Linked DNA regions of Cricetulus griseus. The protein of the gene in region 1 interacts with the protein of each later gene in a pairwise test. Links are inferred from orthologs where the notes say so. Each region holds a gene or a part of one and is shown on either strand. Other genes may lie near its edges.

Region 1 (4,202 bases):
GATAGCTCAGTGGTTAAGAGCACTGGCTGTTCTTTCAGAGGATCCTGGTTTGACTTCCAGCACCCACACTGCAACTTACAACCATCTGTAACTCCAGTTCTGGGGGCTCCTAATCCCCTTCTGACCTCCTGAGAACCAGACATGACGTGGTATGCAAAATACCCATGCATGTAAATAAGATAATTTAAAAAATAAGCAAAGTCAATAAAATTATTGTTATTATTTTTAGGCTGAACATGTGCAGTTGTATATGTAGTGTCTTTTCCAGCATTCTTAGTGGACCCAAGACATTCCACAAGACAGGTTTAACATGACTAAAGTATTGATACATGGTAATAAGCACTTAGTTTTGAGTGTTTTGGCTTCCCAGGTCTCAGTTTCCCTATATACAAGCACATTGGTGCTGGTCCTCCATGTGCATGTCCTGGGGCCCCTTTCTCCCTCTCTTCTGCCCCTTTCTCTTCTCTGGTACACACACACACACACACACACACACACACACACACACACACACACACAGAGAGAGAGAGAGAGAGAGAGAGTAACAGCCAGGCTCCCTCTGCTCTGGGTCAGCAGAGGCCTCCAGAATGCTTATAGTGGTCCCTGATGCTCTGGAATGGGATCTCCTGGTCTTGGTCTCTCTGGCTGAGGCCATCTGGCCTTTTCTGCATCTCTCAGGAGTAAATGGAGCTGGCAGGATAGCTTCTGCCTTAACTGCAGCATTCAGAAGGCTGAGGTAGGAGACTGCTGGGTTGTTCAAGTCCAGCATGGGCTGTGAGGCTTGACCTTGTATCAGAAAGAACAACAAAACTCAAAGGAAATGAAAGGTCCATGAACACAGGGATCTGTCCACCTCTTGAGAGTGATAGGATGAGTTTTGCCCATCAGCATTCTTCAAGAACTCTCCCACAGAGATTCTTGTCAATGTCCCTCCTTTCCGTGGCTTTTCCTCCACCACAGTGCATCTGTGGTGCTGGTGCCCTCTCGTCTTGGGAAGGTATTTATTTCAGGAAAAGTGTCCCCGGCCCTTAGTGTGCCTCAATCTCTGAACCGGCTCCAGACACAGCCGATGGGACTGAAGCGGAGTGGCCCCGTCTCCATCAAACAGGAAGGTACGACCACCAACGGCTGTGGCCTCACTTGTGCACTTAAGTCTGGACCAGGCTGGTAGACTTGTTAAATTCTTGAGCTGAACCATGGAACCCGTGCTATTCCGGTTTTGCACAGTGCGCAGAACCTGCTTCTGCAGCGCCTGCCTTAGTGAAGTAGTCCGGTGGCACAAGCCCAAGGCCGCCCAGACTGGGCGTGGTCAAGGGCGTGGCCAATGATCTGGGGCGGGGTCTGGTCAGGGACGGGGCGGGATCAGCGCGGGTCTGCCGGGGGCGGGGCCGGGGCAGGAGCGGGGCGGAGCAGGAAGGGGCGGCGGCCCTGCCCGGCTTCCGCGTCACGGCCCTTAAAGCACCTGCCCGCCTGTCGCGGCTGCGAAGGTGCCGTCCGAGCCCAGGAGTCGGCTCCATGGACACTCTACGGGCTGCGTCCGGCGCTCGGCGGGGTGAGTGAGTGCCTCGGGGTGGGTCGGGTGGGACGCTTCGTTGAGTCCGGCCTCGGGAGGGTCGCGGGCCGCGTCTCCATCCCGGATCTCCGGGACCCTGCCGAGTTCACCCTGGTGAGTGGAGAGGGGTGTATTGGGGCACCCGGCATGCGCAAGGCTCTAGCCGGGACCGCCTCGCGTCACCGGTCCTGGTAGCCAACCAGAGTCGCCCAGCAACTTTTTCCCCCGTGGGTCACCCCGGAAACTTGTCCTTCCCGGAATGCGACTCCGGTCCTGGGCTCTTACTATGGAACTCGAGAACGAAGGCGATGGCCACAACGGGGAAGCCCCTGGGTCCTCTACGCACTTCCCAGCCCCCAGTTTCCTTCTGAGAGCACCGCCCCTGCCCCCTAGGCCCCTTGGGTTGGCATGAATGAGGACGGGTTTGGGGGTGGAGTCAGACAAGTTCAATTTTTTTCGTCACCACCTATGAGTTGATGACCTTGAGTAAATTCTTACTGCCCGTGCCTCAGTTTCCCCCATATAAGAATAACTCCTTGCTGAGAGCTCTTGAAGGAACAGCCTGAGATGACACATGAGGATAGCTTTGGATAGTGTCACCTCGTTTCATATTGCCTCATCCTGTGGGGGAAAGAGGCTGAAAGAGAGCTACATGGAGTATTCCTTGCCTCTAACCCTGTGGTCTGGTCAATAGGAGCTGTGATGGACGCCTTCCAAGAATCTGAGATATGAGTGACCCTTGTAGAAAGAAGTCTGTCCAAGAAGCCAGCCCTACCATGAGTCTGTGGGAACTTGAGGACAACCACAGCTGCCGGGGTCGCCCTCAGCCAGCCCAGGATCCTGAGGCTAAAGAGGCCTCTGCTGAGCTGCAAATGAAGGTGGACTTTTTCCGGAAACTGGGCTACTCGTCCTCTGAGATCCACAGTGTCCTGCAGAAGCTGGGGGTCCAAGCAGACACCAACACAGTGCTGGGGGAGCTGGTGAAGCATGGTTCAGCTAGTGAGCGAGAGTGCCAGGCCTCGACAGACCCCTGCCCCCAGCCCCCTCTGGTGCCCCGGGGAGGAAGCACCCCCAAGCCTTCTGAACCCTCACTCCCAGAGGAGGATAAGGATGGCAGTGACCTGAGGCCTGTGGTCATCGATGGGAGCAATGTGGCCATGAGGTATGTGTCACTTCTTTGGAGGGGACCTGTGGAATAGTCTGTGGCTCTTCCTTTGGGAAGAAAGCTTTGCTTTCCTCGTGAACTGGTAAGAGAATGTATACGCTCTCTGGGAGGCCCCACCATGTGCTAGGAGGCTCCCTGAAGCCTTAAGACTTCCTTGGGGTTATTTCATGAATGTCCAAAGAAAGAAAATAGCTCAAACCCTTACCCAGAGTCACACTCCTTGGTAAATGGGAATCCAGGATTCAAACTCAGCCTTCTGTGCCCAGAGTGCACCTTGTACCATGGTCTCTCCTGAGACCAGTCTTCTCCTTGCCTATCACATGAGGCAGGACAATACAGGGGATTAGCCTGTGGGCTTGAGCTTTCTGGGAGTCACTTAACCAGTTGAGTCATTTCTTCACTCTCTTGTCAGTCTTACCTCTCAAGTGGCCCTTGTGGGGAGAAAAATGCATAGAACATGGGGAGTTAGTTGCAAGGACTAAGTAAGCAGTTGTTGTCATTCAGTGGCTGACTCCTCTAGGACCTCCTTGTCATAGACTTGTGCTCCCACAGTAGCAGCAAGGCTTAGTTAGCTATTGAGAACGTCCTAGCCCTAACTAGGTGTGACCTATTGGCCAAATCTGGCTCTCGATGGGTGTGTGCAGGTGGCCTGATGCTCTGGGCTCATGTGAGCCCTGATTGGAATCTGTATTGACTCAACTGACGGTGCTTGGTCTGGACTGATCTCTGGGGGTTCCCAGACCTCGGTGCTTGTCCGGATCTCTCAAGGATTGGGGTGGGGTGGAGGCAGAATATGAGCCAGGCTGCTTCTGACCTTAAGGAGCCCTTGACTTCTCCCTTCCATCCAGGCCGCACCCTCCAACCCTGCTTTCTCCCAGTTCCCTGCACTACGGGCTGGTGAGTCAGGACTGGGTGGATCGCACACAAGGAAAAGTTCCTGTTGGCAGGGACCAGGGGGGACCCCAACAAGAGAACAGGAAGAGGGGAAGTCTTCCTAAATGCCTTGAGGGTTCTTCCAAGTGGACTGCCCAACTTGTCATGATGTCAGCCTCTTCCCTACCTGGCATTTGGTCCCACCTACTCTCAGCCCAGCTGGGTCAAGTGAGCTGTCCAGCTGGTCCTGGCCCTACTTAGCTGGTACATGGGAGCAACGCCTTTGGGTCCATCTTCACATCTTTAAAATGGGCTGATCTTGGGTGTAAGGCTGAGAAACACTGCTTCCATGCCAGAGGGCAATGGGTCAAACTTACACTGTCAGACTCTAGAGTTGTCTCTGAGGTTCTGAAATAGGGTATGCATTTGGAGGGGTCTGACTTCCCCTAGGCGTCATGGGCTGGGTGTTACAAGTCTTGTGGGCAGCCATGTGCTATGTGTATTTGTATCCTGGGCAGGGGAAGGAGGGGCCTGGATGGAAGGAGGGGCAGTAGTGGAGGGGTTCAGGAGAGCTGATACCAAAGAGACAGACAGCTACTGTCTGCAGGCCTC
Region 2 (3,930 bases), on another chromosome or scaffold:
GTTCCCAAAGAGCAATGGGTCAGATAAGTAACTTAATTTGATTTTGGCCTTTATTATTTTTTAATTAAAAATATTTATTTATTGTATATTGGGCATGTGTGTGATGATGCATGCACGGAAGTCAGAGGAGAATTTGTAGGAGCCCTGACTCTCCTTCCATCATGTTGGTCCCAGGGATTGAACTCGGGTTGGCAGGCTTGGTACCGCCATCTTGCTGGCCCAATGACTTCCACTTTCAAAAGAGTATTGGACTTTGTTGAGGACTTAAGAGGGATTATACTACCTAGGAAAGAACGGCTTCTTCAGCAGAGGGAGACAGGGGGATGAATGGAAGGAGGAGGAAAACTCCCAAGAACAGAGTGGAAAGTGACAGTTGGGAGGAAGTATGGATGACAGCCACTTTCAGGCTGCTGTGGCTGTGGATGAAGGGCTGGTCATGGAGTGATCTTAAGGGGAAAGACAATGCCTTGTTCTGGTACAGTATTTGATAGTCACACAGGCCTCAAAAGCAGTTTAATGCAGGATTTGAAAGTCACAACCCTTGGTCCACAGCTACAGTAGTGTTTCCTACACTAGTAACAAAAGCAGGGGTGAAGGATATGGTGTGCACAGCATTTACTGCTTGCCCTTAAGCAAAAAGACTGCTTAACACCAAATGCCAAAAGTGCTTGCTTGGGTGTGGTGCTGAACAGACAGGCCCTTGAGATGGGGACCAGCACTGAGTCACAGAGCTTTACTGTGACTTTACTGACCACAGTGGGCTTCTCTCCTGACCTTGCTAGGCCTGTTTCCTCACCAGAAGGAACTGTGGGGGCAAATGAACCCTATCACAGAGGGGAAGCTTATGTTTACTTCAGTGGCCCTTCAGCCTCTCCATTTGAATCTGTTGTGATTTGTGGTTGCTGTGTGTGTGTGATTTCTTGGCCCTAGAACACCCTCCCTTCACCATACCCCGCCCCCCCTCTTCAGGACTCAGCTTGAGGCAGGGCCTTCCTACAGCCCCAGACCATTTCCCATCTGGTATGCCCAGAACTGCAATTCTATAAATATTTGTGTAATTATGCATCATTTCCTTTAAAGATGGGAGAGTCTGTGGTCTGTGTCACTCATGTAGTAGGCATGAAAAAGATGTTTTACTGAAGAATGAAAAACAGCCAGGAGCTAGCTCCAGACACTGGTGTCAGACTGCCCTCCAGCTCGCAGCTCAGGACTCCCTCACCAGGATGGTTTCCCAACATGGCCTTGCACAGGCTGGCTGAGGTACAAGGGCTGTCCTGTCAAAGGAGGGTCAGAAAACTCGTCTGTGTCTGAGTAGAAACACATGAACTTTGTTCCCCTTTCAGAAGTGCCTTCAGCACAGGGTCCAGGTGAGCCACACACAGCACCATTAAGGACATACTTCAGTTACACAAGTGCCCCAGGGGTGGGTACCTTGGCTAGGTTGCTGATACTGACAGTCATGGTGAAAAAGATGGGGTACATGGGAGCCATAATCTCCAAGAACATGGCTATATCGTTGAGGACATCAGCAAAGAGCCTAGGGAAGGGACCAGAGGCCAGGGGTTATAAACAAGAGACTTTTATAAGAATGGCAGATTCCCCCATCCTCTCCCCCGCCCCTTCTCACCTCCACTGCTTTGCATTACAGTCCAATTTGCTCCTGGTGGGGATAAGAAGTTGTAATTTAGAACAAAGGAAAATGCTGTGGGCTCTAAGGGAGTTGTCCTTCATCATGGTGAGGTCTAAAGAGCTCAGGGAGGAAATGGGCTTCCAACCCAGACAGCTGTGACCCTGTCACTGTTAGATCACAAATCCTCTAGCTGCTTTTCACTAACCCAGTAATCAGGCCACACTCTGCTGCAGCTCTATGACAGCAGCTGTGGGAGCCTTGCAGGCCTTCCCAACCGAGCTGCAGAGTAAGTCCACCGCCCTAGCTAGTGCCGGCTCCATCCCCCTTAGCAACAGACTGGCCAAACTAAGTCCTGTGGTGTGGAACTTGCTGCTACTTGTCTGAAAATCTATGGAAGTCAGATCTCTGGGGGATGTGAAGGTTTTTTTTTTTTTCCTTTGGGCTCCTCTTGTCACACCACACGTGCATGGCTGTCATCTCCCCTCACCTAGCTTCTCTCTGGGTTTTGAAGGGAAGGCCTGTTCTCTTCTGTTGGGGCCCCACCATGCTGCCCTTGGTAGGATGCTCTATCCTTCCTAACTGGTCTCCTGCTGCAAGGCAGGAAGCTCCCTCTCCTGATGAAGCCCTTCTGAAAGGTAACTTTGTATCTGCTTCTCTGCCAGGGTTTTGTTCTGACTGTCACTGCTGCCTGAAATATGACCCTTAGCGGGGAGGACCATCAGTGACCGCTGGCTGGGTATATCTTCCTCTTACTGGCTCCAAGGAAAAATTATCCTGTTTACTGGCTGTTCTCCCACTGCCTGGGCAACCTTTGAAGAGGCTATTTCTGGATCATTCTCCTTTTTTTCTTTTCTTCTTGCTTCTTCAAAGGTAACCAGGCCAAAGTCCACATACCCGGGACTGCTTTATGCACACTCAGTATAACTGCAGGGTACAGGAAGCTAGCCCAGGCTCTCTTGGCTCACGAAACAATGGATGGGTGGGAAGGAAGGCCAAGGGAAATGGCTGGGCTCCAATATCCAGGCTGAGGATGTTTCTGTTATACACCACGATAGGTACTACCTCTTCTGTCTCCATTCCACAGTTATTCTCTGGCCCGTGCATAAACACCTGAAGCCAATTGCTCTAAGATCTTAGTGTTACGAGATGCTGCAGTGCAGTCCAGCCCAGATTCTCATCCCTAGCTCTAGATCTTCATCTGGAATCCCTCAGCGGAGGGGGAGCCCTAGCTAGGGTAGACTATATGTGCCCAGGGGAGTTGCTGAGCACATGGCACCCTTCCCACTTACCCAGCCTGATGGCATGGTAAGAAGAAAGGTCTCGGTCCCACCACAGCAATTACAGAGTGAGTGGCTTGAGAAAAAAATAATTTCCCGATTCTAGATATATTTCACATCTTAAAAAGTGTCCCTGTCATCTTTTCAGTTTGGGCAAATTGAACCCAGGGCCTTGTCCATGGCAAGGCAAATGCTGTACATCTGAGCCATATCCCCAGACTGGCATCTCCAAAATGTTCAGTGCTACCCAAAAAGCTTACAGGGATTAGAGATGATACAAAATTCAAGTAGGATATAAAATGTTAAACACTTTGCATAGATTTTTTTTCCCATTGAACTTTCTCCAACAAACAAAGGCTTGCATTATTACCAGTGCCACTGAGAGGTACTACCAGAGCCAGCTGACTGGAAGAGTCACAAACTTACCCTTTCCACCAGGCAAAGATGATGCGGCCCAACATGCCAGTGGAATCTGGGGATGGGAAGAAGGCATTGTAAGGACAAGGAAGGAACTCAAGAGCTGCAGGGCAAGACAGACACTGGCTCTGAACTGGCTGATTCACTTCCAGTCATGCTGCCCTTGGGAAAACATCTGGTGTGACAAATTCTAGACAGAGCTAATACTGAGGGGTACGATGAGGTCAGCAGTTTTCCAGTACACGAGAGCTATGTGCCTGAGTACAGAGTGGACAAGAAATGTTGTTTGCAAACTCGTTGGACAGGCAGGCACTCTATAAAGTGAGCTGCATCCTCAGCCTGCAATGCTGTTAAATGACAGCAAAACACTAAAATGATGTAAATGTTTAAAGATAAGGGGATTCATAACATCCTGGTAGATCTACTCAGTGGCATATTAGGCAGTCACAATGATATGTGCCAATGATTCACAATAACACTGATAAATATTATAATCTTGTATGAAAGACGAATTCATAGAAATTACATACAGCACAATATGCTCTTCAGGAAGCTCTACAACTACAGTGTTGAGAAACATCTCATATATCTTAGGCTTATGGGAAC

What was found.
Region 2: the proteins of Zc3h12a (region 1) and Ahsp interact in binary tests that used the Homo sapiens proteins (3 or more experiments, as listed by UniProt). The two-hybrid records come from large-scale screens. The link is inferred for Cricetulus griseus from reciprocal best matches to the Homo sapiens genes ZC3H12A and AHSP.

Annotation. Positions count from the first base shown.
Region 1 is NC_048595.1:27,928,677-27,932,878, forward strand, and holds the start of Zc3h12a (endoribonuclease ZC3H12A), read left to right. Parts: upstream 1-1,402; 5' UTR 1,403-1,552; intron 1,553-2,246; 5' UTR 2,247-2,280; coding exon 2,281-2,714; intron 2,715-4,202. UniProt on the Homo sapiens protein: Endoribonuclease involved in various biological functions such as cellular inflammatory response and immune homeostasis, glial differentiation of neuroprogenitor cells, cell death of cardiomyocytes, adipogenesis and angiogenesis.
Region 2 is NC_048596.1:72,527,637-72,531,566, reverse strand, and holds the start of Ahsp (alpha-hemoglobin-stabilizing protein), read left to right. Parts: upstream 1-1,130; 5' UTR 1,131-1,260; intron 1,261-1,431; coding exon of another isoform or gene 1,432-1,537; intron 1,538-1,627; coding exon of another isoform or gene 1,628-1,660; intron 1,661-3,333; coding exon of another isoform or gene 3,334-3,379; intron 3,380-3,930. Other genes in the region: Rusf1 (RUS family member 1), read right to left, coding at 1,432-1,537, 1,628-1,660, 3,334-3,379. UniProt on the Homo sapiens protein: Acts as a chaperone to prevent the harmful aggregation of alpha-hemoglobin during normal erythroid cell development. Specifically protects free alpha-hemoglobin from precipitation.